3 linked regions of the Mytilus edulis genome follow. The protein of the gene in region 3 purifies or fractionates together with the protein of the main gene of each other region. This does not show direct contact. Links are inferred from orthologs where the notes say so. Each region holds a gene or a part of one and is shown on either strand. Other genes may lie near its edges.

Region 1 (7,806 bases), on a different chromosome or scaffold from region 3:
CCAGGCGACTTGGGCGAAGAAGTCGCCTTCCCGACCGTCACTTCGCTTTCCCCGACCCCCAAAAGCGAAAACAAGTCCCCCTGTTCTTGACGATAGTCGCTTTCAGTCGCTTCCGTCATCGGACATTTTCAATTTTTACCAAGTTGATGAAACATCAATTTTTTATTGATAATTAAAGAAATTCAGACATAAACGATTCATTATCTTTAGAAAAGAGGTTGAAGCATTGTCTTCGTAATGTGTAGCAGGTTATTTGATAAAAATACAACTTTTTATCACTTCGTGCATTTCTGCAAGTTCCGGTGCTTGTTACTCGAAAACGTACATCAACCTCAAATTCGGCGGCAACATAAGTTTGTTACTTCATTTAAACGTGATAAAAGTGGCCTCCAGTAAATTTTTAATCCATTTATTGCATTAAAAACGTCATGTTCCTTTCCAAATAACTTGTCAAACATCGTTTATTTTTGTCAATTTTCTTGCATTCGTCCGCCATTGACCGATTTCTAAACTCTGGATCTGAACCGGACCAGCTATGACCGAAATCCGAACTTTAACAATAATTACTACGGACGCACGGATGGAACAGCTGACAGAAGAATATTGATCCCAAAGGGGAAAATTACGCATTCCACACGCATTAAGAGACTTTTGGTAACATCTAATTGATTGGTGTATATAATTCCCTATATTTTTTATGGATTGTTTCAAACTATTGATTAAAGTTGCTTAACTCTGAGACTATTATACTCATTACTAATATCAATATATTCTGGCCCAGCTTAATAAATTTTATATTTTTTTTATGAGAAACACTGAATGTCATACACAAGATAATTTTTAATTAAATTGTAATTGATATATTATAATTTCTTTACATTTTTTAAAATAATTTTTTTTTTTTTAGTGCTAGATATTTAGTTTGTAGTTTCTCACAAGAACCTTAGTAAAACTTAAACAACTTTTAATTTCAAATGTTACTTTAATTGTAATTTTTTTACTCAGATATGAATTGAACCATTATTTACATATGGCCCTTTATACTATTGTAAAATCCAAACATTGTATCGCACCGTGCGAATGAGCACTTCTCTTTCAAATCTCACCACTTCTCCCTATCAGTTTCAAAAAGAGAAGTCACTTCTCCCTATAATTCTGAAGTAGTGTGAGCCCTGATAAACAATACCAAATTTTCACATTATCTTTTCAAAATGGTCACAAAGCTTCACATTTGCAATTTCTTTAATGAAAAATGCACAATAAAATAAAACTACCCATAACATATGTCGCAAACTGTAATGTTTATATGGCAATAAAACTTTGAATTGAACTGAATTTTTAACGTTTTGCACGTACTGCAAAGAAAATAACATAACCAATTTTGCTAAAGGGACTTCTAAGTTAAAACTGAAGCAATTATTAAAAGGCTATGAGGAATAAAACAACTATAAATTAATTGGAAACTCTGACATTGTTTTTATTATCATTTATGGACAGTGCACATGACTAAAAATAAGTAGTGTCAGAAGTTTACCTTGTTTAATAATTTTTTGTAAATGAAAAATCCTTAAAATTAGCTAAAGACAAATTTTTCCAACCAGCTTAAACCCTTTTAGGTATGCTAAAAATGCAGGATTTTGCATCTAAGATTTCAAAATTTGAATGGGGAGCATGCCCCCACCCCCCTAGCTGGTTTGGGTCGCTTCGCGACCCTCACCGGTGTCAGACTAGTGGAAGTTATTCAGGACTAGTAAATTAAAATAATTACTACTAGTCCAGTACCCTCAAAAGTTTTTGGTGCAGACTGAAAGGACTCATTTTTGTGGAGTTATCTCCCCTCCCAATGCTAATTTCCATAGGAATTTAAAAATGCTGATTTTGAGTTTTCCTCAAGTTAGATTTTATGGGACTTTTTTCTGTGTATATAAAGGGCATAATGCTATAGATTAGAACTAAAACATGTTCTGTTGCAATTAGTTTGAGGTTAAATCTTAGTTTGAATGGACTACATGTTTTAAATTTGAACTTATAATACATGTAGATTTTTAATCATTGTTTTGATCCATGTTTACACTGATGTTTCATAAAACTAACCCATACACCATATGATTCAATGTACACAAAATTCATAATTCTGCTAGTGCAACATTCTGTAGCTTCCAGAAATAACAACGAAAAGGCACCTAGAATACCATCAAGTAAAACAACTGTACATAAGGAGTTGTTCTATCCTAGAACAATCATAAAGTGGAACACCTTGCCAAACTCTAGTGTCTGCGCCCAGAGTCCTGAATCTTTCAAGTCTCAGCTCCCTCATTAAATTTGAATAACATGTTTTTGATTGCTCCTGTATATACATTAAATTGCACCCATTCTTTTGTTGATTAAATTTCAAAAATATTTCATGCGCTCACACTGAGACTACTATAACACATGTGTTATAGTAGTCTCAGGCTCACATCATAATGTGGCAGAATAGACCGAAAGACTGGCAGGCATAAATGTTTACTGCTCTAGTAGGCAGCACTGAATTGACAAGATTCTATTATTAAGTCTGTGGACTCAGCATGTTAGACAAGAGATTTGCAATAGCTTCAACATTCTGCATTTTGAGATTGTCCCCCATTTAAATACCGACCACAACAACGTTTTCATCAAACGCCATAAACTATATTGCATTTGCCCTAATCATAGTAGTCATTCTGGAATACACCTCATTAACAGTATGTCAGTAAATATTTCAAGTATAAATCAGATAATTTATGTTATTCTGTGTAAGTGAAAGAAATCTCACATAAAAAAAAATATCCTACCTATGTCTATACCTGTGGTTGATAATCACAAATTCCTATCTAGCACACTGTAAATAAAGCAATCCCAGTCTTCAAAAGTGTTCAATATGAACACGTTTTGAATATACTTCTAATTAATGAAAATATCGTCAAATTTGGAGTCGTATTTGCCTCAATATTCTCAGGTCAACTGCTGCTCAAAATGTTTTGTAAGCAGCTATCTGATTGGTTGATCGACTCCATATGATCTAAATGCGCTTCCGGAATGCTCTAAGTTATAGTCTATTCCAAAGAGTACGCCTCAATCACGTGATTTAAAATACGCTAAAAATAACTATGTAATGCAGTAGTTCGATATAGTACAAGGGAAGTAATAAAAAGTAATAACACAAAAATACTGAACTCCGAGGAAAATTCAAAACGGAAAGTCTCTAATCAATTGGCAAAATTAAAAGCCCAAACCGTGACATCAAACAAGTCGATAACAACTGTCACATTTCTGACTTGGTACAGGCAATTTTCTATGTAGAAAATTGTGGATTGAACCTGGTTTTATAGCTAGCTAAACCTCTCACTTGCATGACAGTTACCTCAAATTCAATCATATTGACAAAGTATTGTAGCTCATTGCTAAAAAGTAGCAATTACATCTTGAAACAAAATAGTGAAATTCAAAATTCAATTCAATTCAAATTGCAATTTAATTTAATTTAATTTAATTTAATCTAATCTAATTCAAATCAATTCAATTCAATTCAATTCAATTCAATTCAATTCAATTCAATTCAATTCTCAATTCTCACTTCAATTCAAATATTCCCTGCAAATGTTGCCTTTAAAAGTTTATCTCAGTCAAAGATGCAATTTTTTATGTCATGTTTAAATTATTGTGCTTTGATTGTCTTGCTGTTGACATTTTCTACGAAATGTATAATTGCAAAAGTTGAGAAAGCTATGTCCCTCTTACAGTTATTGAAAGGTAATCTCTACGAAATGTATAATTACAAAAGTTGAGATAGCTCTGTCCCTCTTACAGTTACCGAGAGGTAATAGATATCAAAGGGATAGTCAAACTAATAAGTTGAAAACGAACTGCCGATGTCATGAACTATACAATAAAAAATACTGAAAGGCAAACAATTTTCTACATTCACAACATATACAACTAAAAGAATAAGCAACACAAAAATCAGGTGCACTGGGATGGTAAGTAGATCCTACTTCACATGCACGTGGCACCCGTCGTGTTGCTATAGTGTAAGTACAAACCCAGAAATAATTCTACTTCATTCGATCACATTTGAGAAAAGGGGACGACATTGTGCATGGTTACGACATTGTGCATGGTTACGACATTGTGCATGGTTACGACATTGTGCATGGTTACGACATTGTGCATGGTTACGACATTGTGCATGGTTACGACAATTTGAAAATACTGAGATTTGAACATTTTCGTAAACTGAATCACAATCCACGAATCGTGAAATGAAGACCATAGTGTTTTACTTTTGTCTCACTCTGTACTTAGTCAGGACTCCGAATATGACAGCTTTTGATATAACCGTCGTAAATCAGTTACGAGTAATTCAGGGATTTCGTTACCACAAATACTTTTATATTATATATATGAAGATTTCGTTTTGGAAGATTGAATGTACATTAAGAATTCTTACCACATATAGGATATCACATCTTATTGTTAATGGTATTGTTGCTCATAGAGCCAACACTTTTGGATACGACTCACACAAACTCATTAATACTTAATTTGAATAAACTTGGTTTTTTTTTTAAAGATTGTGATTTTTAACAACGTATTTGGTTGTACTTGTAGAAAACTTGTTTCCTACGGGATAGCACATCCTCATTTTTACGAAAATGTTGTTAACCGTGCCCGGAAATTTAGAAATGACCCATGTAAACTTGTCGCTCCTTTAAATAAACTTATTCTAAAAGGTTACCTATTGAACACTGTAATAAGATCATTGAATATTGTTTTTATTGGTATAAATAATTCGGTATTAAATATTGACTTTGTTATCAGTAAATTAAAAGCTAACTAAATATTACTAGTATGTTATATACATAGACATATTCATGGATCTACAATCTGTTGACACCTGTATCTTGGTATTGCACAAGGTCGTGTTTTTCTCTGGCTGTTTATGACGTCTTTACACTAAATCCATTGGATGTTGGATGTGTACGGATTGATAGTTTAGTCTTAGATGCATAATTTTTTAATTAGTTGTTAGTGGCTTTGAACTAGCTGTCAGATAACTGTGAGTACTCTCAGATTTGTTCATTGTGTCTTTTTGTGTCGGGATGTATAAGTACCCGGCCACGTCCACTTGTATTTTTGTCCATCTGATGAGTTAAGCCTTTTTCAACTGATTTTTATAGTTCGTTCTTATGTTGTACTGTTATACCACTGTCCCAGGTTAGAGGGAGGGTTGGGATCCCGCTAACATGTTTAACCCCGCCACATTATTTATGTATATGCCTGTCCCAAGTCAGGAGCCTGTAATTCAGTGGTTGTCGTTTGTTTATGTGTTACATATTTGTTTTTCGTTCATTTTTTGATATAAATAAGGCCGTTAGTTTTCTCGTTTGAATTGTTTTACATTGTCTTATCGGGGCCTTTTATAGCTGACTATGCGGTATGGGCTTTGCTCATTGTTGAAGGCCGTACGGTGACCTATATTTGTTAATGTCTATATGTCAGTTTGGTCTCTTGTGGACAGTTGTCTCATTGGTAATCATACCACATCTTCTTTTTTATATTGTTTGACTTTCATCTGTTATATTTTATATTTGGTGTTGTTTTTTTTTTTTTTTTTTTTAACTTTTTAGTAAATTAAACATAACATATCTGTCAAGAATTATTATATTTAAATATACAATTCCTTGATCCTTTCAATAAAATATATATTATTATACTTACTTATATTTGGCCTTTTAACATTTTGCCGTTACATAAAGTCATGCTGTTTTCAGATTATGCATGACGTCTTTTTATTTGGGACAAAATGTGTTTATACATATAAGTTGTATTTGGACATGTATTTACTTTCAGTATTCGTGAGTACACACAGTACTTTTATCATTATGTTTTGCAGTGGCGGATGCAGGAATTTTCGAAAGGGGGGGGGGGGGTGCTAGCCCAGGGCAAAGGGGGGGTGCAGGGGGGGTGCAAACATATGTCCCGATTCAAATGCATTGATCGGCCAAAATAAAGGGGGGTGCGGACCCCCGGAACCCCCCCTCTGGATCGGCCACTGTTTTGTGCAAAAAACGCCTCCGGTGGCGGGAGTTTCTCCCTGCTTTGAAGATCCATTGGTGGCCGTCGGCTGCTCTTTGGTCGGGTAATTGGTGTCTTCATGACACATTACCCATTTTTATTCTGAATTTTATTCTCAACAATCTAATGAATCAAATACAACACATTCCCAACTGATGTTTACGCGTTGCTCTTATGTTGTTACACCAATGTACTGGTTTATGAGAGGCTTGAGCTCTCACAAACATGTCTAACCTCGCCCACATTCTAAATGAGCCTGTTCTTGGTCTCAGTGAGCCTGTAGTTCAGTGGTTGCCGTTGGTTGCTGTCGATGTCATATTAGTTTGGTTTGGTTTGTATTGTTTTGTAACAAATAAGTCGTTGATCATCTCTTTCCAATATCGTTGCCGTATTTTGTCATGTCAATGTCTTTTATAGCTGACTTAACGGGGTGGGTGTTGTTCATTATTGAAGATCGTACGGTGACCAACATAGGCTTGGACTTAGCATTCACCAAGTTGTAGACCTACATGCAAAGTAACAAAATTAATCCATTAGTTTCTTAGGTCTTTTATTCCTTCCCCCAACTCGTTACGACGAAATGATAATTAAAGTATTAATCCGCAAAATATTCAGATATATAAAGAGTTTTTGAATATATCTCAATATCACCATGCAGTTATTTTGAACAGAGGAAAATTTTAAACTACAAATTTAGAGTAATTTCACCAAGAATCTGGTAGATGCCAGATTATGCCCTGATAAAAGACTATTTTCTACTGTATTTTGCCGCAGTGTAAACATAATTCTAGTGGACAACTAGATAACACCTGGTCTAAATCGCGTAAAAATATTGTATTTGTTTATCCACTCAATGCAATATGGTTAACGACTAATAAAGACACAAGAAGCCAATTATTTAGTACTGAGACTATTATACTAGACTTATAGTATCTGTTATAGTAGTATCAGTTTAAAATTACAGCCTATTACATTGAGTGTGTAGGCAAAGGTGATATCTTTGGTGTTAGCTTGCTTTCTAGCTGAACCGTAGTCATTATAAGTTAAGTATACTACCCTTCTTTCGAAGTAGCCTAGTCCTACAGACAGATAGATTGGTTATCTGTCGGACTAGTCTACTCTTAAAGGAGGGAAGTTTACCGAACTTAATAATAACTTCACGGTTCAGCTAGCAAACAAGCTAACCAAATATATTACCTTTGTCTACACACTCAATGTAATTGGCTGTAAAGAAATATTGATATAATCTCGGTTACCATGTATGTCTCTGCATCAACAAAGTAAATAATGACAACTTCCCTTTTTGCCGACTTTACTAATACCACTGAAATAATGCGCAGAACTGTGTTGTTGTTTTTTTTTATATCTGCAGCAGACTATTTGTTGTATATTGCAGCATGCATGATCATAATCTGTACCTGTGTCACCAGCAAGTCAACAATTTTAGTCAGTTTTATTTGTAAAGACTCAGACGTACTTATAAATATAATTATTTTCTGTGACTGTATCTTACATTAATTTGTAGGATCCTTTACTATAGATAATTGAGCTGATATGTAACAATAACATCTCCATGCCTTATATATCATGTACTGTAGTACGACACTAGATTAAAACTGACGAGGCAAGGTAACACACGGCCACCAAAAGCTTTATTATTGTGAAGCCCCGATAGCCTAGCGGGACGGCTACAGTGCAGGCGATTTGGTG
Region 2 (7,105 bases), on a different chromosome or scaffold from region 3:
TGGTCGATGGGTCTCAGACAAAGTCATAATGATGACAGGAATCTTTATCAGGACCAAAGTGGTAAGACAGTGCAATGGTGGTCCATTATCCAACACCTATGATACAGACCAGTAGAAGTCAGTCAGCATAATATGTCCCCTGTAATGTGTGTTAAGGACAAAATGCTAATGCGATATTTATGCAAAACAACAAGTTTAAGATCATACTGTTCAGCATTGAATTGGTGTCTATCATCAATCAATAAACCCTGGAGTAAACCAACATCGTGGATAGCAGTAGTCCAAATAATTATGATGTAATGGAAGGCTATTTCAAATTTTTGCTTTGACGCTTTCCTGTGACAATGTACATGTAAGGCATCAAGAAAAAAAAAAAAATAGCCTTTAAAGACGTTGTAATTATTTGAACTAGGATAGCAGGTAAAGAGGAGCTGACCCAGTTCTGCTGTTCAGTTGTAATGACTGAGGTGCAACTGAATGCTGAATTGATAGCGATGTGGATCGACCTGATAGCTGTACATATACATGATTATGATTTGACATACAATCCAGCCTTTTTTTTTTTATCAGAGATACAAAATTTTGTAAGTGGCTGTGTTACAGTCCTACATTATATTGCTTGTATTTAACATTTATTTAAAACTGAAATAAGAATAATACCACTGCTATCGTTGTGATAACACATGCTGTAGTGTAAGCCCGAGTAACGGGCGGCATTTGCATGTATTCTTGCTGAAATGTTTGTGCCATGGCTGTGTAGTGCAATGTTTACACCGGATGTTGAAGAATCCACGTAGAATAAGATAAAAGTAAAAAGTAAAAGATATCAACACAAATTTTAAAATATTCCTCTTGTAATTTCTTCCGAAACTATATCATTTTTGTTTTCTATTTAGTTAAGTATACAAATTTTATATCTGATTCGTTGATTTTACGATAGGATCTTTTTTCAAAAAATAAAATTGTTATCTGCAGATTTTACTTACACCGGAAGTGAAATAAATGGTACGCACTGAAACCCGGACCGGACCGGACTCCGGACCCGGACTTTGGTATGAAACCCGGACCCGGACCCGGACTGGCCACCGGACCCGGACTGAATGCCGGACCCGGACTGTGGGTTTTTTACCACTTTGATTTTTTTTAAGATTACTGTCATATAAATTATTAGTTACAGTATATAAAAATTAAAAAAAAAATCCACATTCCGAGCGCAAAATTGAACAAAAAAGAGTAAAGTAAAGTAAGGAAGAAATATATAATAATTCCTTTGTCGTTATTGTTTTATTGAAATTAATAAAATCTTTTTTATTATCAATGAAAGCAAATTAAATTCTTTTCATAGGAAGAGTAAAGCGCAATAGTTTGATACATTCGAGGGTTATATTTTTTTTGTATTGTTTTCTTCTTCTAGACATTAAGGGAAAAATAGAATTCCTGCTTTTCTAAAACATTGTTTTGGCAGTCTTAATTAATCACTTTTAATATTAGTTTCCTCTTATGAGAACACCAATTACGCGTTGTTATGTCACTGTGTAATGAAAGTCTCGTGTTTTATTGGGTGTTTGACATTTGCGCCGATTTTTAAAAGTTTCGATCTTTCATTTGCGCCGATTGTGCACAGGTTAATTGCAGGTGAATGTCACATTGATTCTATTCATCAATATAAACCTCTTTCGTTACCCAATTGTACATATGTTATGAATTGTCAACTAGTATCATTAAGAATTCCTATGATCTCTTATTGTAATTCCGAATTCTTATGATATCTTATTGTTCCTCCGAACTCTTATGATATCTTATTGTTTCTCAGAATTCTTATGACTTTTTATTGTTCTTCCGAATTCTTATGCCTTTTGATTTTTCCTCCGAATTCTTATGATCTCTTGTTGTTCCTCAGAAGCCTTATGACTTTTTATTGTTCCTCCGAGTTATTTTAATCTCTATTAAGACTTATATGGTTTCTCCGAATTCTGTTTCTCTAAATTCTTCTCTAATACTGTTCCTCAGATTGAATTATTGACAAAGGTTTACACTCGCTTTAGGATATTGGTTTAATTGAAAGAAAAAGGAAAAAGAAGACACAATTAACCAGGAATTACTTACAAAATACATTAAGGCTATTGGTAATTCAGTGTTTAAATAACCAAAGTAAAAACTATGATGGATTGCTTTTTTGTACTAGCTGTGATCAGTAACTGCGAGTATTCTCATATCTGTAGTTGGTGTCGTACGGTCACCTATAGTTGTAAATGTCTGTGTCATTTGGTCTTCTTTGTCAGCTGTCTCATTGGCAATCACATCACATCACATCATTCTTATTATTATATCAACATTGCAAATAACGCGTCACTTGTCGATAACATGGTATTTATAAATAAAATAATAAAAAAAAAGATTTACTTTCTTATTTGATTGTCATCACAAAGTCTATTAAAATAATTCAACAATCCAATGTTTCACGATAAAGGTGTCAAAGACTACACTATCAATCATAATCAAGCATGTATAGAAGTCAGATTTAAAGGGGCATTAGCTCCGAGATTTAATGAAATGATAAATAAAAATGTTCAATATAGTGAAATAATTTTATTTTAGCAGCCATTGTCAAAATAAACTAATATACATCGCTTATGAATTATTCACTCGTAATCTCCGTATCAATAGTATTCCTTTGGTAAGAAATACAGAAATAATCTTGTGTTACACGTTAACCGGGATATTTTTTACCCCAAGATGGTACTCTGAATAAAATCTTCTGCGGCTCCTGATTGGATGATACAAAGTTGGAATTGCTCCAATAAAATTTAAGCAGCGATCGATCATCCATGTAATACACATTCTTGAACAGGTGAGTCCGGACTGTGACCTGACATGACCCCGGACTAGCTTGAAGTTTACTATACCTGCGTGTATTGCATTACGACGACTAACTGTATGTAAACTGTTTATTGTCGTAAAGTATATTGACGGGACATTTGATCAAGCATGTAATACATAAGAAATTTATAAGATATTTATCCGACATTTAACGAATAATATAAATGTAATAGGCGAGTCCGGATGGTGACCTGAAGTAACCCCGGACTAGGTGTATTCGCAAACTGTAGACATCGATAGAGATATAAAAACTTCACAAATGATTTGATGAGACGAACTTATTCATTTTTATTCATTCAACTTTTTCCTTATTGGATTGTCGTCGGAAACATTAATAAAAGACGTGTACCCGAGAATCAACAAATTAAAATTAGACGAGTCCGGACTCTGATCTGATATAACCACGGACCAGGAGTGTACGGATTGTATATAAATATACTAAATTATTTGTTTAATTGAAAGATTTTTTCCCCCTTTTTACTTTTTACTTTTCCTTTATTCATTTCTCTATTTCTTTAGTTATTCGATTGTCATCGGAAAAATCAATAAACGACACTTAAGCGGCGTTCAACAATGTAATACACATTCTTGAACAGGTGAGTCCGGACTGTGACCTGACATGACCCCGGACTAGCTTGAAGTTTACTATTCCTGCGTGTATTGCATTACGACGACTAACTGTGTGTAAACTGTTTATTGTCGTAAAGTATATTGACGGGACATTTGATCAAGCATGTAATACATAAGAAATTTATAAGATATTTATCCGACATTTAACGAAAAATATAAATGTAATAGGCGAGTCCGGATGGTGACCTGAAGTAAACCCGGACTAGATGTATTCGCAAACTATAGACATCGATAGAGATATAAAAACTTCACAAATGATTTGATGAGACGAACTTATTCATTTTTTTTCATTCAACTTTTTCCTTATTGGATTGTCGTCGGAAACATTAATAAAAGACGTGTACCCGAGAATCCACAAATTTGATTATCTTATTATTATAATGTACTGTGTTACAGTTCTCAAAAAATTATCTTCCTTCTCCTGATTAAAAAAAGAAAAAGGTGATTCTAAGAAAATTCAGAATTATTACCCAGTCCGGGTCCGGCATTTAGTCCGGGTCCGGCGTCCGGTCCGGGTCCGGGTTTCATACCAAAGTCCGGGTCCGGAGTCCGGTCCGGTCCGGGTTTCAGTACGTACCGAAATAAATCAACAAACCATGGCCTCGTACGCTTCTTCACGGGACGAAAACAATTCAGATTTTGAAGAGGTTGACAGCTTTGACTGTGATGAACTGGATGCACAAGCAACTGACGAAGGTAAATATTCAATCTGCTTAATATTTTATTATTCTTTGTGTGGATGCAAAAGATGTTTAGTTTTAAAAATTTTAGTGCTTCATATATATGTTTTGGTATTTTGCAAGATACATGTATTATCTATTTGCTTAGAGTTAATTTTTGGTGCTGCTTCTTATTATTTATTGCATGCTGCATGTCTTGTTTTATTTGTTATTGCATATGTTTTTATATTCGGTGAAAAGCTCATTAGAGCTTATGTTTGTATTGTTTGTCAATATGCCGAATCCAAATAAAGTTTTACTTACTTACTTACTTACTCAACCCTGCACCTGACAAAGGTACTTTTATAAGCATTGTGGCTTTGTGCTGTTATAGTTTATGCTGTGACTTTTATCTCGTTATTGCAATGCATTTTAGAAGTCATATACCAACTAAACTCAGTGGCAATATTAGTTTTCTTTTTGGTTTGCATTCTACAGTTCTAGACCTTCCTATGGATAGAAACAAGTGCCTGTGGTTTCGGCCATGAATCACTTAGGTATATATGTAATTCAAGGAATTGTGTTAAAATATTTAATAATTTAGGTCACCCTTATAATAAGAAGATAAGTGTATTATATTTTAAGCTCCGACAGCATCAATCGTTGATTAGATGGTCACACAGTGTTCTCCCCAGGATTTTTGGATAGCGCTGTGGTAAGCGCGTAATTTTCGACAATTCTCAGTAACTTTATTGCGGCGTGCGTTTTGTTTGTAATTGATTTGATGTGTTTTTATTATATTATGCTATTGATGTTTTCTCTTGTAATGATGTCCTCATCATGCTCATGATAGTTACAAAATGTACAATGTACCCCTTTGTTTGTTAATGTTTTTGTCTGGATACACATGATATAGAAGAAGAGTCTTTTTTTCCTCCATAGTAAATTCATATATTAAATCCTCATACTATCAGTGTATAAAACTGAAGGATAAGTCTTTTTCCATGATGGGTCTACACCAGACTACCGTGACTACCTATGTGAAGATTTCTTAGCACTAACAGGTAATGTTGCAGAACATGTAGGACCAACAATAAAGTCAATGTCAGCTTCTGTTTGGTTTTGTAACCCACTGTAGCAGTGTACAGTTTACCTTACGACGTTTGACAGGAATTGACATTTTTTTAGCATAAAGATTTCTCATTTGTCTGACCTTAAAGTTTTATAATATTTAAATGGCCTCATCCAAGCTGAACATTGAGAAAGTGAAATTTCTCAAGTCGTATCAGCTTGGGGTTTGTTTTTCTAATCATATCCTCTCAATTGTTTTCAAATGGTAGAATTTCTGACTAAACAATTATAAGTTTGAATAGGTGATAATTAATACTTCAAAGACTTGCTCATTTTCGGGGTTCGTATGGATAGTAAACCCGGCAAATAATTTGTAACAAACCCCGGTGTTTGATCGTTTTTAAAATCATCGTTTGTTCAAAGTTCGTAAAACAAGTTTGTGAGTGTCGTCGGGAAATGCGATCAATTCATTTCATCTCATTTCATTCATATATGCCTCTATCATGTGTCTATATATTCTTTTAATTGAAAACATAGATGTCAATGTCGAAATCTTTGTTTATTTTGATCTTTCAAAGATGCCATTTTTATTAGACTGGTCCCGCGGAGTTACTTTAATACAACAGAAATAATTCATTCAAAAATCGTAAACCAGTCAATCACGTGATCCGAAGAGTAAAATAAGCGGGAAATTTGAAAAAATGCGAAAAAAAATATAGCGAGGCGGTTGAGTGGGATAGCGCTGCGGTAAGTGCAATAGGACAGCGGGAAATTTAAATAGCGCTGAAAATCGCAGCGCTAAAACGGCCTGGGGAGAACACTGTCACAAATTAAGTTTACTGGCGACACATTAGCGGAGACAGTAAACAGGTAAACGGGTATTTTCGACCATCAAATCACCAATTGATGCTGTCAGAAATTAAAATGCAATATTGTTATCTCCATTTTAATAAAACTGACATAAAAAACGTTAAAACATGTATTTAAAATCTGTTATATTGCATGTATATCGTCTGCACATGCGTGTATGTTCCATAGCATCAATTGTCAATTGATCATTTTGATGCCATGAAAATAAGTTACGTTATCCAATCTAAATGGACTTTACATGGGTTGTTGCATTAGATTTTGAATTTCATTCACTTCGGTATACATCTCAGGTCAGGTCATTCATTACCTGGTATAGGTTGGCACCTACTCAAATTGGGACTTGGTTAATTCAGGATTAAGGCTGGCACCAGAGGTAGTTATTAAGGCACCTATGTCTACATGGTCTATCATTAACATTATGTTTTGTTAGTCAACTTTTGAAGTCTCCACTATTTGTATATTCTTGGTTTAATATTTTCACAAATTAATCAACATATATTTGGTAGGAATCATAGAAGTTCCAACAAAAACTTTGTTCTAAACAATGTGTACAGTAATTCCTACTTTATTTCAACTGCACATAACATGCATAAGTCATTGCTAGTAAACATGTTGCTAGCTGTCATTATACAGAAACGACAGTGGTTAAGCAGAAAAAACAATTTAAATAACAATGATTTGTTTTCATCCTTATCTGTGGATTAAAAAAAAACTTGTATAATGACTTCTTAGTTTTTTTTTTATTATAAACATCAAAAACTACCTGTGGGTTACATTAAATACAAGTTTATAATTAATATAAAAATAACTAATGCCACTGAAATTAACAACTATAGGTCCAGTCTGCATGGTTAGCCACTAGTCTGATGCCCCATACTAGTAAAATTTTATTCAGACTAGTAAGTTTTTGCAAAACTTTGTTTGGACTAATAAGAAAAATGTCAAAATATTGGTCTTCGGACTAGTAGTTGAAAAAGTTTTGGTGCAGACTGTAG
Region 3 (7,760 bases):
ACCCCCTTAAGAGTGATAATTTTAAAACATTTTCAAACTTAAATTGCATTACATCAACATGCAAATTCAGAGAGTCCATGCAATGGGCTGTTCCATGAACAACAACATTTGATGGAAATACACTTATAAATCTGAACTTTGGTCGGCTGTCAAAGGAGAAACAGTCCTAATGAAATACTGATCAATTATCAAATTATTATAAAACATGCAATCTTAAATGTTAAGTCAGCTGGAATACAAGTCCCCTAGATAATTTATGTATATTGTTATTTGGAAAAGCTGAAATCTTTTTTGTAAATATTCTTGTACACTGTTTTGCAAGTACTTTACTATTCATCATGAACTATTGTTACAACACTTACAAATCAATAAGCTTTTTATTCTGTGCCTTGCATTCCTGTAGTATATCATTTTCATCCATTAATTCTTGAAGGGTGACATCCTGTAAAATAAACCATCATTCTCCTGACTTCAAATATCGAAATCAAACAGTCAAAACACACCTACACTAGTGTATACAAAGGGGTATGTAAATAAAAGTTGCATATTGGTAGAGTACAAACAAGAATGTGTCCATAGTACACAGATGCCCCACTCTCACTATCATTTTCTCTGTTTAGTGAACCGTGAAATTGGGGCAAAAAATCTAATTTGGCATTTAAATTAGAAAGATCATATCATAGGGAACATGTTCACTAAGTTTTAAGTTGATTGGACTTCAACTTCATCAAAAACTACCATGACCAAAAACTTTAACCTGAAGCAGGACATACGGAGGGACAAACAAACAAATTGACTAACAGACCCACAGACCAGAAAACATATTAAATGCCCCTCTACTATCGTAGGTTGGGGTATAAAAATAAAGAATCAATGATGTACAGTGGAGTCCCCAGTGTCTACGTGGCCGGTGATATGCAAATAAAATCTTTCTATAAATTAATTGCTTTAGTATTCCGAATGGACAGAAAAGATTAAAATTGATCATTTCAAGAGTAAATTTTAAATTACCATCCAATGATTAATCACATTTAGCCAATTTCCATTGCCAAATTATATTTTCAGATAAAGTTGGTTTCATTAAAGTCAAAATTAAATCAAATAGATCTAAATTTTGCTCTGCATTCTTGGCATTCTGTTTGGTTCAAATTCAACTACATTTCGTACTTTAAAATCTTTCCTTAATTCAAATAACCCATTTTCATAAGACTATTAATGCAAGCGAAAAATCACCAGAAGAACTCTAAAAACAGTGGTTTCCCTAATTTTGGACACACATTACACAAGAGCTTAAGGGTGAAACCATACATGCAGAAAATTTTATGAAATAAGTTAGTGATGAATTTGTTCACATAATATTATATTATCTTATTATTAGTTTTATCATTAAATAAAGTGAAGTCATAAGACTTTATGTGCGCGGATACACAGAACTGCACCATAATGTTTTCTAAAAATTTACAATATTGATTGAGACTTACCTCCTTTCCAAGCAAGGTATCAATCTTTGAAGTTGTGATAAGATTAAACTTCCAAAACATCTTGTTATCTGGAAAAGAAAGATTCAGTTAAGATTCTGATATGTTATATAGTTATGGCTGATACAACTACAAGCTATAATTCAAAGTTCAAAATTAACAAGAATGTGTCCAAAGTACATGGATGCCCAACTCACACTATCAATTTCCATGTTCAGTGGACCGTGAAATTGAGGTCAAAAGTCTAATTTGGCTTTTAAATAAGGCCATATCATAAGCAACAAGTGTACTAAGTTTCAAGTTGATTGGACTTCAGCTTCAACAAAAACTACCTTGACCAAAACTTTAACCTGAAACAGGACAGACGAACGAACAGACGAACAGAAGGATGCACAGACAAACAGACGGTCACAGACCAGAAAACATAATGCCCCTCTACTATAGTAGGTGGGGCATAAAAATAAAAAATAAAGGAACTTTATAACTTCAGTAGTCATATCTCCTTATTTTTATATGTCAGTAACATACCCACAAATGTGTTTATCATCAGATGGAGAACGAATTGTGGACAGATGGCTACTTATGAAATTTTTCTGGATTGATATAAATTTGATTTGATTTTTTGGTGTTTTAACTCCACTTATAAGCACCGTATTTAGGCTATTTTGTGGCAGCCAGTTTTTATATTTTTTTTAAAAATAATCGTTATATGCTTTAGCTTATAGAAAGTGCCATATTTTTTTTTAATTTATAGGATTCTGGCCTGTAGATTCAAGTTCATCATGAAGACTAAATAGCACCAAGGTGCATGTTTCACACCACTCCGCCATGAAAATCACTTTAAATGGTTTAAAAATAATAATTTCTGAGTACTAAAACTTTAATCAGAAAACAAAGGCCAAATGATTTGAAAAACTACCAAACATTGATATATCAAAACACAATGACTCTTTTTGTCTATATGAACCAGTCTATCAATTGGACCAGCTGAAAAGTGAAATGTATTATAATAAAAATGATTTCATTTTGGCAATTAGAACTGAAACGTCATACAGTTTAAGGGACTTGTAAGTACATCTAGGTTGTTCAAATACTGTCTTTACCACTGACATACAACATCACAGGCGATCTATATCATCTACATTGCACAATGACCCATCAGCACATCATACCTGTCAACCTCTGGAAATGAAAAGTCAGGTCATGACCTGCATTGAGAAAAAAAATCTCAGGTCATAACGCGTACGACATTTTGCGGGCTCAATTGAAGAACAAAAATATGTTTATATATAATTATATAGTCAATATGTATATGAAACAGTTAGAACATGTATACAAGTTTATTTCAGACTATTGTTATATTCCATAGTAGCAGACTTGGCATTCTTTAAAAGAACTGCACTTGGTTTCAGTTCATAGCAATGCAAATATGTATTCATTTTACAAGAAAGAAGAGCACACAGTGTATCCTTATTAAGATCAGCCCTAAACTCTGTAGCTATTTTCTTTACTAAAGAAAATGCCCTCTCACTGTCTGCATTGCTGTTTGGCAAAACCAGTAATGTTTTAGCAAGTTTTGACAAAACAAAAAATCTTGGCTTGTTTTCAACTACCACTTTGTTATTTTCAACTGAAAGGGCCCTCTTTACTATTTGGGTGGTTTTAGTTTTTCAACAGGAATAACCTGAAGCTATTTCACTGTCAGAGAACATTAATTTACACGGTACGTAGCTCAGGTAAACAGTCCTACATTTTGACTTTTGGTTACATTGAAAAAGACCGATAAAACCGAAGGTCGTATTACTTCTAAATACCGGAAACAATTCCGGTCAGAAATCCGGGTGAAACGGGTAATGTTAGAAATTCCCGGGACCCGCCGGGTAAAGAAAAACTCCCGGGTGAGAGGTGAAAATAACGGGTGTCACCCGCAAAAAACGGGTGAGTTGACAGGTATGGCACATTGCCTATAACATTGTTCAAGTTTGATTTCTGTAAGCGGTTATTAATAAATTTGAATTTCTGTATTAAAAATGAAAAATTTATGTTTCATCTACTTGGTAAAAATAAAAATTGTCAAAGAAAGTGAGTATGGTGACCAACAGGGCGATTTCGTTTTCGATGGTAGGGCACAACAAAGTGATGAACACAAAAGCTATATTGTCCCCCCAGTTGCCTGCTAGCGTAAGCCCTAGGTACATCATTACATTACTGCTATTTGTCCGCCATAACTGGATATCACACAGGTTCCCGTAAAAATTTTGACCGTCATAAAAACAAAATAAGTGACGCCACAATGGAAAAGAGATTGTTGTTGACGTCAAAAGTTCAAGCAGCTGACCTGGGATTAGCAATAAGGTGTATACACCTTATCGCTATTTGTCCGCCATTACTGGATATTACACAGGTTCCCGTAAAAATTTGACATCACAAAACAAAATATCTGACGCCACAATGGAAAAGTGATTGTTGAATGCGTCAAAAGTTCAAGCAGCCGGGTCAGCCGGGATTAGCGATAAGGTGTATAGGCTATAGCCATGTTTTCACATTCCAAACATTCAAAACCATGTTTTGCCCTCAAAATATTTTGACTAGATTCTGCAGACAGCTTGAAATAAAACATGCTATTTTGCACAGATTTCAGTATTTGTGTCTTATTATCACGACAGGACATAATTGAAGGCATTGTATACCCACAGTGGTCACAGACTCATGACACTGCTAAAACCTATGGGAATTGAAAGTACTGTACGCAAACACGCTCGACAGTGAAATTAGCAATATTTACGTGGACTTAGCATGAAGTAAGAGTGTTAGCTATATAACGATAAAGCATAAATTTGTTTATTAACCTTTGGAGAAGACTGTGGTTTATTTTATCAAATGTAAACACGGAGAAACTTCTTCAATATCAAATGTACTCCACGGGTTTCTTGGTTCATTTCCAATTTTTCATGTTGAGGGATTCATGACATCAAATGCAATTAGTTAAATATGATTCTATGGGTTGGGTTTTGCAATAATTAATAGTCAGATCATTGAATAACCAATAAATATATGATATTTATCATGTCAGGCGGGAACGAGTACTTCTCAAAATGGCGACGCTGAATATCCCATAATCAATTTTCTGCGTTCTCACGAGAAATTTGTATGATTTTTATTTTTTATTCTATTACCACAAAATGAAATTTTATTAATAATTAAATAGCAAAATTATACTTTAAATGATTTAGTTTTTTTATTATCAAGCACCTGCGCTGTTGTCATAATAAATTTGAATACGCATGCGCGTTCATTGATGTTCCACTTCAGGCGATCATCTGAAAAATCTGTAGTTTACAAACGGACAGAAAAAGTCTTTCAGCTCTGAAAAAAATTATTCCGGTAAGAATTTTTGAGTTAAACTTTGTTTAATAGACATTTATTTATAATTTTCGTTGAAAATTGTGAGCTGTTACATTCTCTATTTTTCAAAAAACGTTATTACATGACCAATGGCATATCACTTGTTACCGGTGTGTAAGGAGCGGTTTCTCAATTTTTACATTTTTTAAGAAAAAACTAACTGTGACAGTTGTCAAATTTGAAAGTTTATGATTTGTTTTATATTAAGGATTAATTTTAAGATTTAATTTTTATTTCCTGTTTTGAAATTAAAGATTTTTGGTGAAAAACTGTGCACATGTATGTACACGATGAACTTGATCTGGGCGATCTGGGCCTGCGCCAATCATAAATTCCTTTGTTCCAAAATAGGAAAACGCTGTGAAGCGTAACCTTGTCCAAACGGTCATTGACACAATTACCCAGAGCGGCCTATTGATTGGTGGTATGTCGATTTATCATATATGTAGAAAGCGGACGTTCACCATAATCAGAATAACCATTGATTAGGCAAAAGAAAATATGTTATAAAATAGGAATTGAAGGAATTTATTGATTTGTGAGAATGACATTTATATTGATAAAACACTAATAGTAAATTTAAGTACAAAGGGGTTAAGTGGAGTGAACTATTATATAATAAAAGGACTTTTTAATTTATGTTCATCAGTATAGGACAAGGATTTGTATAACATTATCAAGAAATTACTATACAAATCCTTGTTAAAGATTTTTTTTTTTTAATCACAATCAGTAAATAATATAATTTGTAACATATACATACATTTATAAGAATAGTTGAGATAAATTAAAACGTAAGTTTATTTTTGAATTACAGAGGGCTGTATTTTATATGTTTGGGATACATTTGGTGATTTTAAAGATATATTACACTTATCAAGTTATGTGAACTGTCAGGCTGAATAGTACAGTTTGTCTGATTACTGTGGCAATCATAACATCCTTATTTTTATATTTATTAATGAAAGTTATGTTTTTTTCAGATTTAAAAATAACGAATACATATACAAGGAAAGATGTTCAGTTTTCATAAACCCAAGATTTATAGGAGCAATAACGGCTGTTGTATATGCCGAGCAAAATCATCAAGTTCTCGCTTTACTGACAGCAAGCGATATGAATGTGACTTTGAAAATTGCTTTAGAATTAAAGAAAGACGTGCTGGTGAAATATGTAATGCATGTGTACTTTTGGTGAAAAGGTGGAAAAAGCTCCCCTCTGGAACTAACAGACATTGGCATCATGTAAGTTTATATTTTTGACTTTTAATTAGATAAAACAAATTGATTTTAGAGAGATTAAAATTAGGGCAGTATCTGCAAGCTATTGATTTTTCAAAAAAATAGTTTATATCAGAATAGTGATTATTTTAATATTGGATAGCTAATTTTTGCGCTGTGTAAATATTTGTCATAGTTTAAATTCCATAGATTACACACAGGGACTGATCAATGTGTGTGTCAGAAGTAGGTCATGTTACCTGACATAGTATGTACTCTCAAGACAGGTCTTAATACATATGTATTGACCTTCAGTATCTCAATGATTGATCTTGTGGTGTACCAGAAAAGATGGGTTATCCAAAAATAGATATTTTATAAAATTTATAAAGTAAAGAAAAAAATGTTAAAAAAACCAAGGTACAAGATATATTTGAAATAAAGTTACCTGGGGCAGTGATTGAATAATTAATTTGAAAAAAAATACCATATTATTAAGTTGTGAAATGTGTGTAATTTTTCAAAAGGGGGATCAGATATAATTGTTTTCATAGTGTTAGATAATATCTGAAACCAATTATCATCAATTTTCTGATGACATATATCAGATATTTGTAAGATGGGGACATTTTCCTTTATAACTACTGACAATATTTGTGTTATTTATTACCCTCTAGAGGGTATAAAGATTCCTCAAAAAACATGTTGACATGCAGTGAATGTTAGCTATAGAAGTTAGACAGGCTCATCCTGTTAATCAACTCTGTGTAATCAATGTCATAAAATGAAATCTGATTATGTTAATAGGTCAAGTCTGTGTTACTTCCTTATATGTAATGAGGCTGTAACTAAAATTTGAGCTAGACGGATTTAATTTCTAATATAAATAAAAAATATATACAATGTTTGTTTAATTGATACCTAGACTTATTTGGAACTAATACATACATAATTATTTATTGCCAGCATTGGTCCAAGTTCTTATGTAATATTACATTATTAAGCATTCCTATAGAAAGGTCATATATAAATAATTACACAAGTTAAATTGAAATTAGTTTTACTTGTAATATTTCTTTCTTGGGGCTTACAAAAAAAAAACTTACAATTGAGGAACCATTAAAGTTAAATGACAATATTTCTCTGTTCCCCTATCAGGTTTATTAGAGAAATAAACACTTGCTTTCCCACCATAATATTGAACTTTGTATGAAGGCTAAACAAGCACCTGCCTGTTTAAGTGTAGTGTCCTTATAAAATATGTGCATTTTAATCTGAGTTTTAAAGTATTAAACTAGGTCATTGACTGCTTTAAACCGTCTACTGCACTCTGAAAATTTAAAGAATAGGAGGTTGACTATATTATCAAATATCTTTCTATGAGAAACTGTGTGTAATCCAAGGTCTATATATTTTTTTTGTTCATGTAATAGTTAGCTCATTTTTAGACAACATTATGTTTTTTTAGTGTTTTTGAAAAAAAAACCTGTTTAAAATCAATAAAGAACTCAACTAGATTCAGACAGACTCATTTTCTCAAACTGTCATGGCTTTTGTCACATATATAGTATGAAAACTCATCTGAAGCATGTATACAATATTTTGATAATTTGAATTACTATTTTCATTTATATGTTGTTTTAATATTATAATTGTC

Evidence for each region.
Region 1: the proteins of SIN3-HDAC complex-associated factor-like (region 3) and histone deacetylase complex subunit SAP130-like purify together in Homo sapiens (affinity purification with mass spectrometry; 3 studies listed by BioGRID and IntAct, counting the BioPlex papers as one, with this or other methods). This does not show direct contact. The link is inferred for Mytilus edulis from reciprocal best matches to the Homo sapiens genes SINHCAF and SAP130.
Region 2: the proteins of SIN3-HDAC complex-associated factor-like (region 3) and sin3 histone deacetylase corepressor complex component SDS3-like purify together in Homo sapiens (affinity purification with mass spectrometry; 3 studies listed by BioGRID and IntAct, counting the BioPlex papers as one, with this or other methods). This does not show direct contact. The link is inferred for Mytilus edulis from reciprocal best matches to the Homo sapiens genes SINHCAF and SUDS3.

The regions. Positions count from the first base shown.
Region 1 is NC_092346.1:104,014,685-104,022,490, reverse strand, and holds the start of histone deacetylase complex subunit SAP130-like, read right to left. Parts: upstream 3,012-7,806; 5' UTR 2,814-3,011; intron 1-2,813. UniProt on the Homo sapiens protein: Acts as a transcriptional repressor. May function in the assembly and/or enzymatic activity of the mSin3A corepressor complex or in mediating interactions between the complex and other regulatory complexes.
Region 2 is NC_092349.1:14,510,778-14,517,882, forward strand, and holds the start of sin3 histone deacetylase corepressor complex component SDS3-like, read left to right. Parts: upstream 1-4,094; 5' UTR 4,095-4,106; coding exon 4,107-4,206; intron 4,207-7,105. Other genes in the region: derlin-2-like, read right to left, coding at 661-750.
Region 3 is NC_092353.1:70,783,556-70,791,315, reverse strand, and holds the start of SIN3-HDAC complex-associated factor-like, read left to right. Parts: upstream 1-4,743; 5' UTR 4,744-4,862; intron 4,863-5,218; exon of another isoform or gene 5,219-5,307; intron 5,308-5,866; 5' UTR 5,867-5,899; coding exon 5,900-6,127; intron 6,128-7,760. Other genes in the region: serine/threonine-protein phosphatase 6 regulatory subunit 3-like, read right to left, coding at 363-442, 1,482-1,541. UniProt on the Homo sapiens protein: Subunit of the Sin3 deacetylase complex (Sin3/HDAC), this subunit is important for the repression of genes encoding components of the TGF-beta signaling pathway.